2 linked regions of the Tribolium castaneum genome follow. The main gene of each other region encodes a partner of the protein of the gene in region 2 in a complex. Links are inferred from orthologs where the notes say so. Each region holds a gene or a part of one and is shown on either strand. Other genes may lie near its edges.

Region 1 (3,733 bases), on a different chromosome or scaffold from region 2:
GGCGCTTGTGGAGCACTTGGTTTCGGTTCAATTTCCTCGTCACTGTCCGAATCACTCACTTTGATTATCAACGGTTTAACTAATGGTTTAGTCACTGTGATTTTTTTCGTGGTTTTAAAGTTATTTATTGGCCGTTTTGGAAGCGCAGTTACTACTGGTTTCGGAAGTGGTGGAGGAAGTGGTTTAGTGGTTACACTTTTCTCAGTGATATTTTTCGCAAGGCCCGCCAACAGGGAGGCCCTTAACACGTCCTCATCCTCCTCTAGGTCAATAACCGGGTTTTTTTCCTCCGTTTTTTTCTCATCTTTCGGCGTATCATTCTCTTTATTTTCGAGCGTTTCTTCCTTTTTCCGCTTCCGGCGTTGGAATTTGTTCAAAATCGCGGTCTTTAGCGCTTCCAAACGCAAATTCTCCAGTTCAGTATCGTCCATTTTATCTGAGGTGTCTTCGTTTTTTTGGGGGGGCTCGGGGGCGCTCGCGGCCAGGCCCCCCATGGCTTTGAGTCGTGTCTCGAGGGGTTTTTTGAGCCCCTCATCACTACCACTGATGTGGATCGCCTCTTTTAACTTGCCCTTGAGATCTTGAGGAGGTGACACATCACTGTCACTGTCGTCAGACGACGGTATTCGGCGCTTTTTGCGCCGTTTTTGGTGCTTTGATTTACGGTGCAGTAGCTTTTTAGTTTTGATCTTGTCTGATTCACTATCGCTACTTAAAGGGGGTGCACGTAAATGTTGGTTAGTTGAAGCAAACTTACCAAAAGTTGAATCGATGATGGAATTATCGGAAATGGCTTCGAAATCATCATCGTCAACTATTTCACCGTCTTCTAACTGATCACTTGGGCTCGGATCGCCCATTTTTACGTATTTTATTGATTTTTTTGAGAAAGAACAAAGGTTTCTCACAAATGGCGTGTCAAATGACAATGACAGGCAAGGGCGGCGCTGATAACGCTACCAAATGTCCCTAAAATGCGAAGCTAATGTGTGTGTATTCTATGGCTAATTTACACAAAATGACCAACAAACGGCCTGGAATTTACGCCCTTTATTCAGACAAGCGTTTACTACCACAAAACAGTCAAGAAATGACTTATTCTTCACACAAGGCACTGAAAATCAAGCGCCGTTAGTGGTGCCAACCTAGTGAATTTTCCCAATTTTGGGGAATTCTTTTAAAGTTTTTTTTTAAATAATTTTGAAAAATTCTAAGTAAAACTATAACTTTTTGAAAAAGACATCTAAAAGATAACTTGAAGAATGTAGAAGAAGCAGCAACATGACAAAAAAAAAACACATTATTTTACGATTTTTTATTCATATCAAAAAAATATTCTCATCACAATAATAAAATAAACTATTTCTCAATAAATTGGTTCCGGCTGTTGCGTCATTAATAACCCGAAACGTTTTTTGATTGTGATTCGCTCACGTGAGTATTTGTCCTCGGGTGAAAAACGTGCTAAAACAATAATGAGTTCACGTAAACCCCCCAAAATTCACGAATTGTTACCTGGATGTGCCGAAAGTGTGGGTTTTCCTGAAGGGTCAAATTTCTACAAAAAAACTCATTTATCACAATATTTAAGACAGTAAAGTAACACTCACATTTAAGGTGTAAACCCGGTTACCGTCTTTATCCAAATAATACATTAAGTACATCTTGAATGAAGAAAATTCCCACAAAAAAACGATTTTTTTCGCTTCACAACAAATGTGGTTTAAGGTTAGTTTTGGTTACCAATATGACGCCGCATGGTGACATAACACAAAAGTTACTAAAGTTAGGTTATTGTAGGTTAGATTTCTGGCGCACTTTTCTAATCAAACATAATTATGGAAATTGCATCGCATTTGAACGATTCCAAGGTAGTATTTAAGAAGGATTTTTCGGAATATGGACAAATACTAAACATTGAATTCTCCCCTTTTATTCTTTCCCAAGATTTGATTTTAATTGGGTTCGAAAGTAAAGTAGTCCTGGGGCATTTAAAGATAGATGAGGTATGTTTTGTAACAATAGAATGATGTTTGATTTATTAAAATTGTAGGAACAATCGCTGGAACTCGATATTTTGGCAGAATTCACTCTTAAATCACGCTGCTGTTCCTTAACATTTTCCCCAGAAACATCAACCAGCATTTTACCAAATAATATAATTTTCGCAGCGGCCTGCAAAGACTACAAGGTGCGAGTGTTTCGGAGTGATTTAAGGGGCTCTGATGTGTGTAAGGTTCGTAAATAAATAAATAAATTGATTTGAATTGGCATAAGAGTAGGCTGTGATTAGTAAATAAAAACCTTTTTTTTTAATTATTTTTTTGACTAGGTCTTAAGTGAGCACAACAGTTACATAAACGACGTTAAATTCGACCCTGACAATAATTTTCTGGTGTCAGTGAGTGACGACAACACTGCCAAACTATGGGACACCACCGATTTTCAATGTGTGGTGACACTGCAACTGACGTCACCTGGAATGTCAGTATGTTGGCACAAAGACGACGGTTCAAAATTACTCATTGCTGAAAAAATCGGTTTAATTCGTTTCTACAACGTTGAGACGCAAAATCCAATTCTATCGCTTGATTATGGGAAGCCCCTAGCTTGTGCCCATTGGGCGCCGTCCGATTCGCAATTAGTGGCATCATTGCAGTTAGGGGAATTACTCATTTGGGATTTGTCAAAGCCGTGCGTTCCGGCGAGTAATACTCTTGTTTTTACCGAAGCTGGAGGTTTTGTTAGGTTTAATTCATTTGGGAATTTGGTGGCGGCGATTAATAGTCTAGATAGTACGTTGAAAATTGTTGATTGTCAGATTAATCAAATGAAGTTGTCAGTTCCTGTCACACTTCCGAGTAATGTTAGTTGGCATTGCCGATATCCAATTGTTTGCGTTGGCGATTATATGACGTTGACTTTTTGGAAAGTTGTCTCAAAATAAACATATTTCACATAATTCTGTGTTTTATTTAATTTTTTTCTCCGGAACTTCTTACCTGAGTTCTTACACACTTTTCATGAGTATTTTGATTTCAGAAAAAATACAAAAAATTTTATTACATATACACTCAATCATGGAGGGTTGTATATGTATGTTGGTAATCTTTTTTAAATAGTACTAGAATCAAAAAAATCGATGTTCTTTTAACTGTCATTGAAATAAATGTGTTATAATCATTATTTGATCAATATTTTCAAAAAATCTTAGTAGCCTTGCAATTTAACAATTGACAATGCTGAAAATTTTAGTACTTCAAACATTTGTTTATTAAATTAAAAAAAATCACTTACTACAAAAGGTTCAAGAGATGATATTTTGAATGAAAATTTGCATAAAAATTAACATACACATTTTTTTTAAATAAAAAAACGCAATTTTGAGTTTTTTTTAATATTTACTTAATACAATTTGTTTCCTCTGTGTAACTGTGCTGTGCTACAAATAATAGGAAATACGATAACACAGTTATCGCACAAACATTGTTAATGATACGAAAATGGAGCATCCGTGATTTTTTTCCCCAAACAAGTGACATAACCTATCACTACCAGCCTCATACTTATTCCAAAACCCTTCCAACGTTTTTTCCCAACAATTATCGGTCCCCACATCTGAATTAATAATAATTTTCCCGCCTCACGTATCCATAAACACTCCAAGTCATTTATTGTGTAACTAAGTATATTATTGGTTCATAAAAGAAATGTAACAAAATGGTTTAGACTC
Region 2 (5,500 bases):
AGTATTTTATTTAAACGACATATATTTTTGATCAGTAAAAATAATAAATGCACAGTACAAATAATAACTGCACAGTAAAAAATAATAAATGCACAGTAAATAATAACATTTCAAAACTAGAGAGTGTAGAATTCCACATTTCGAGTTTTACGTTTTCGAGCTTAATCGTTCGAGGGGTATGTTTCCTTTTAGTTCGCTGGGGCAAAGCCCCAGCCTGCAAGCTAGCTACTGAGCGTTTATTATTTAAACTGTGCAAACTGAAACTATATACTGTACATATACGATTTTTTTACTGAGCAAATTTTAATAAAATACTGTGCATGGTTTACTTGTCATTTAAATCTTTTACTGTGCAAAAATGATTTAAATACTGATCATTATTATTTTTACTGGACCAAAGAATGCGATCAACTGGTCGTTTGGATCCCTTTTGGATCTTTTACCAAGAGAATTTCGTCAGCCCAGAGGTACGAAAACCGTTGCTGCAGAAGAAGCAATTTTTAGAAGAATTTCTGAGGAGTTCATGAACCGAATTCATGCCGCTAATGCTACGATCACCCCAGGAACGCTATTACAAACGGTGCATGCCAAAACTTTGAGCATTTATTATAATTTTTAGTGCATTGTTTATTCGTACTTGAAATTGTTTAAAATATCATTACAATAAATAAAGTTGTTCTCCGCTCTGTTGCATTCAGCGACATAAATAAAAATTTTAATAATGAGCAAAATAGTTCGACTTAGAGTTCCTTTATTGGGAAATTTATTTATTGTAAATATAGGAACTCTAGAAATTAATAGAGGAAATTAATGGTGCTATTCTCTAACTTCTGTTACTATGCAATTGCTCTATTACTGTAAAAATTACAGCTGTTATTTAAATTCGTATTCCGTAAACTCTGTTACCCTCTGTTAGTAACATTTCTACCGCAACATTCTCTGTTAAATAACAGCGACAAAAATCTTTCCATAAACTAACAGTGACAGTGACAGATCGTGAATTTTTACGATGTTTCAACAAATTAACAAAAAATTGCATTAAAAATGTGATAAGTGGATAACACTAGAAGCTTAGAATCACGCAAACAATTCGACCTTTGGTTTTTGAGGTACAGGAAACGAATAAAGGGGATAACACTGGTCTTAGAAAAAAATCAACTAGTATAATTATCCATAATGTTGCAAAGGTAATCTTTGGCAACCCTAAGGGGCAAAGAACACAACTTAAAATTCGTCAGGAACCAAAATTTGTATAAACAAAAAAATTAACACTGTGTACTCTTCATTTTGGAAACATTATTCGGTGAAATTAAAACAGAATTTTTTTAATTTGTATTATATATTTCAAATTAAATTTTTTGACTTTCAATAGCTATTTCGTTTCTTCCAAATTCTGTTTCTCCCTTTTATTTATTTTGCGTTTTGTATAGCACAAAATAAAATAATTCGATTTCAATTTGATTACCTAATAACTAATCAGACACGAGATCCCACAGAAATTATCTCAAAACAAAAAATGTGATTTTTTTTTCAATAAACAAGGATATCATTTGCCTTGATCTGCACTCGTCTTCTGCATTCACTTTTTTTTAACATTGTAGTGAAACTTTTTGCGATACCAAATTCGAAATGATAATTTTATGAAAATTTCTTGACATTTTCGAATAAAATATTTGAATCAAGTAGTAAGCCATACGTCAAAATCGACTTCCAATATCTCTAAAATTACATTTTCGAACAAATGGGAACTCGGTGACCCTTGAATCTTTTGCAAAAAAATAAGTATTCTAGCTTTATCCAGAAGGAGGATATAATAATGTAAACACAAAATTTGACCACTTTTAAGTTTTTAAAAAATTTTTATAGAAACGTCTTTTTCATAATGAAGGCAATTTTAAACAATAAATATAACTTAGGATTCGAAATCAGGAGAAAATTTTGCATAAGAATAGTTTAAAAAAACCTATGTCTTCCAATCTAAACAAACAAATAAATTATTAATTATTGCGAGCTACTGATGGACCTTTTTCTGGCCAGTTGACGTAGAGTGTGGCGGCAATTGTGAACAGTTACTATTTAAAACATGGGGTGTTATACTAAAAAATGAAAATTTTTACATGGATAGCCAATAACAAAATAGGCGACCCAGATTTTTTTATTTTAACCAAAGCTCCACCGTTTTGGAGAAAAATAATTGAAAAGGTGAAAATTCCTGGCCTGACGTCAGCAATGTTGCTGTTTGACAGAACTAGAGATAGAAAACTTGCCAACAAAGATAGCTTGAAAGATGTGCTTCAGGAGCAGTCTGCAGTCATTTTACCAAAACACAAACTTCTGCAAAATATTAGCACACAACACAGTCGCAGCGTTAATTGTATGCAGGAAAAACTGACGAATCATTAGTCGTGACATTGCTTACGTCACAGCGCAAATTTTCTATTATTACTAAAAAAGTACCGATTTAAAATAACTCAGACCGATTGTACTAGGACATCATTTTGTGTCTACTTTCAGAATCTACAATTTCCAAAAACTTTTACTTTTGAGTATAACACTCCATTCTCTCCCTTAAAGACCATTAAATTAAATTAGCCAGATAAAAATTAGTACCAGCTTTAAATAAAAAAAATACTATTTACGATAATGCCAACCTGACGTCCCTTTGGACAGTTGATTATACGAAAGAATCGACTATATGTTATACATTTTGTGATTAAAAAAGAAATGTACTCCAACAAGGACAAAAAGAAGGCAACCGGAAATAGGAGAAAGTCTGATCTGAACAATCAATAATCAATATTAGTAAAGGATAAAATGTTATCACACTTTAAACTGTTGGGTTCAATTTCAACATTCGTAATTTGACAGTCATTTCCTTCCTCTTAGAAAACCAGAATGCAAAACATACCAACACGTTGCTGGATTTGCGCTATTCATCCCCGGATACCAACAATAATCGTAGATGAGTCCACTCTCAGGCACACTGACAGCGGGGCTGAGCGCCACAAGGGGTCGGCTATTCATGATTGTCTCCCCCGTGTAGAGATCAGTTGGCAGCTCCATGACATGCATCCCAGCCCCTCGGACCACAGTAAGGAGACAGGTCCCATCGGGCGACCACTTACACCCTTTGAGGTAATGTTGATCGGCATAATTCGACCACTGACACCGTGCTAATTCTAAAGCTGAGTTCTCAAAGTTATAATTGGCGTACGAGACGAACGACTGCCCGAGCACGGCCTCGCCCGCTTCGTATTGTTGTTGATCCGTCACTGTCTCCGTCATTTTTATTAACGACACCTAAAAACTAAACACATTCACGGCTTTTTTACAGTCAACACGACAAAATTGCCACAAATACACCGAAAATGGATCAACAACGTCGGAATGTGTCTACAGAAAATGACATAAACGATCGCAAGTCGCCAACCGAAATCAGCCGCGACGCAAAAAACACCAACATCGTGGCGGGAGATTTAAATTTACTTTTATACACCGTGGTTCAAAAACATGTTGCTAAACGCTAGGATCTTATAGCGATCATCAAGACAGAAAATTTTTGCTTATAAACCCCTAGTCGCTAATGAGCCATTTTGTCTCTGGAGCCATTTACATAAAAGAGTATGCAGACATGTATTGCAATTAATTGCAATTAAAAACAACACAACAAATTAAAATATACCCTGTTGTTATAGAAAAATTATTAATTACAATTATAGTAAGTGAAGAAATCATTAATTAATTAAATTAAATAATTAAATGCATTTTCAAAACCAATATAATATACTATATTTTCACATGGATAACAACTAGCTGTAGAGTTGTTAGGTTGGTACACCGTGCCTACAGTTTTTCTAGTGTACAGATTGGCAGTACTAATTCCATTTCAAAATTTGACACCTAGCACAAGTGCAGTCAAGTACTGAAATAAATTGTTTATTTTTTATTAAAACAAAATATTAGTCCTGATACCCTGATTCTAGACCATTTTCACAACTTTACAAATTTAATTTAAGTGAATATATAACAGATTTTAAAAACTTTCAGAGGTTCTAACTTACTTTTGTAGACACTGTCAATTCTGACAAATTTCTTATTATAAGTTACTATTAGCTGTTTCAAAACTATAAAAACGCTAACGTCGCATTTTACCAAATTATTTTTTTAAATAAGATTGATAAAATTATAAAATAGTTATTAATAATTGTAGATCTCTCATTGAGACTATAAATTAGTTCGGCAATTATTTTCTTAACGTGAGTGAATAATTTATAACAGCTAATTTTGAGAGAAAATGAGACGTTGGCGTTTTTATAGTTTTGAAACAACTAATAGAAACATTGGCACTCATTTAGAGTATAAAGCCAAGTTTAAGAGATTTACACTAGGAAATGGTTTTTATGAATGTGAACCCATAATAATTGAAGAACCAACGAAATGTTGACACTTCTATTAGTTGTTTCAAAACAATAAAAACGCTTACGTCGCATTTTACAAAATTAAATTTTTGAATAAGGTTTATAAAATTGTAAAATAATTAATGATCTCTCAATGAAACTATAAATTGAGCCGTCTAAATGCAAAACCCATTCTTTGATAATAAGTTAGTTTTGAAATATTTGCGAAAAATTATTTTGAAAAGTTATAATGACATTTGAAGGCCATTTTTCTTTATGTAGCTTTATGTGTAAAAATTGATTGCCATATGCTGTACCTACAAATCGTGGTTCACGGATAAAAGAGAAATTTAGATTTACAGAAAACAAAGGGTGAGGTTTGCATCTGATTCATGTAAATAATTGTAATAATTTAAATAGGTACCTACTTAATTAAAACAATTCAAAAACGATTAAGCAGCAGTTAGGAAATATGTTGAAACAAACGTTCTTTTTAAATTTTCAATTCAGCAATAACTGAGAACTAAGAAAATTCAAAAAGTCACATGATGCCATCCTACAGTTTCAATTGGTTCCAAAAGTAAATGGTTATTTTTGCACTTGAATTGAACTCAAAATTTTTATATAGTTTTACTCTATTAAAAAATGAATTTTGTAAAAAAACAAAGAAATCATGAAATTGTTGTTCAAGTTCAAAATATAAAAATGCAAGTAAACCATTTTTCGAATTTTTGGCAAAGAGTTACTCTTGCACTTAGACGGCTCAATTGCACTAATTTTTAATTTTTAGAAGTGCTTGAATAATTTATAACAACTAATTTTGAGAGAAACTGCGACGTTGGCGTTCTATACAAAAAATTTAGATATAACAAAATACAAAAATTATTCAGAAATAAAGGGTCTTTTGAATAAAAAAAGAATTACACCATTCAGACAACGTATAATATTAACTGGTCGTAAAATGCGTTCAACTCTTAATATTAGCTATTTCAAAACTATAAAACCGCCAACGTCGCATTTTTTCTTAAAATTAGCTTTTATAAATTGCACTTCAAAGAAATAATGGCAACTGTAATTTATACTTTCAATGAGAGATCTAATCA

What was found. The genes of interacting proteins can lie anywhere in the genome.
Region 1: WDR79 (region 2) and Nop10 share a complex: the UniProt entries of both Homo sapiens proteins name them as parts of the telomerase holoenzyme complex. The link is inferred for Tribolium castaneum from reciprocal best matches to the Homo sapiens genes WRAP53 and NOP10.

Annotation. Positions count from the first base shown.
Region 1 is NC_087402.1:810,315-814,047, reverse strand, and holds Nop10 (H/ACA ribonucleoprotein complex subunit 3), read right to left. Parts: upstream 1,754-3,733; 5' UTR 1,729-1,753; coding exon of another isoform or gene 1,670-1,728; 5' UTR 1,665-1,669; coding exon 1,611-1,664; exon of another isoform or gene 1,593-1,610; intron 1,559-1,592; coding exon 1,516-1,558; intron 1,465-1,515; coding exon 1,367-1,464; 3' UTR 1,301-1,366; downstream 1-1,300. Other genes in the region: DNA mismatch repair protein Msh3, read right to left, coding at 1-860; nucleoporin Nup37, read left to right, coding at 1,670-1,728, 1,801-1,871, 1,948-2,006, 2,054-2,236, 2,333-2,947. UniProt on the Homo sapiens protein: Required for ribosome biogenesis and telomere maintenance. Part of the H/ACA small nucleolar ribonucleoprotein (H/ACA snoRNP) complex, which catalyzes pseudouridylation of rRNA.
Region 2 is NC_087399.1:12,232,297-12,237,796, forward strand, and holds the start of WDR79 (telomerase Cajal body protein 1 homolog), read right to left. Parts: upstream 3,439-5,500; 5' UTR 3,286-3,438; coding exon 2,909-3,285; intron 1-2,908. UniProt on the Homo sapiens protein: RNA chaperone that plays a key role in telomere maintenance and RNA localization to Cajal bodies. Specifically recognizes and binds the Cajal body box (CAB box) present in both small Cajal body RNAs (scaRNAs) and telomerase RNA template component (TERC).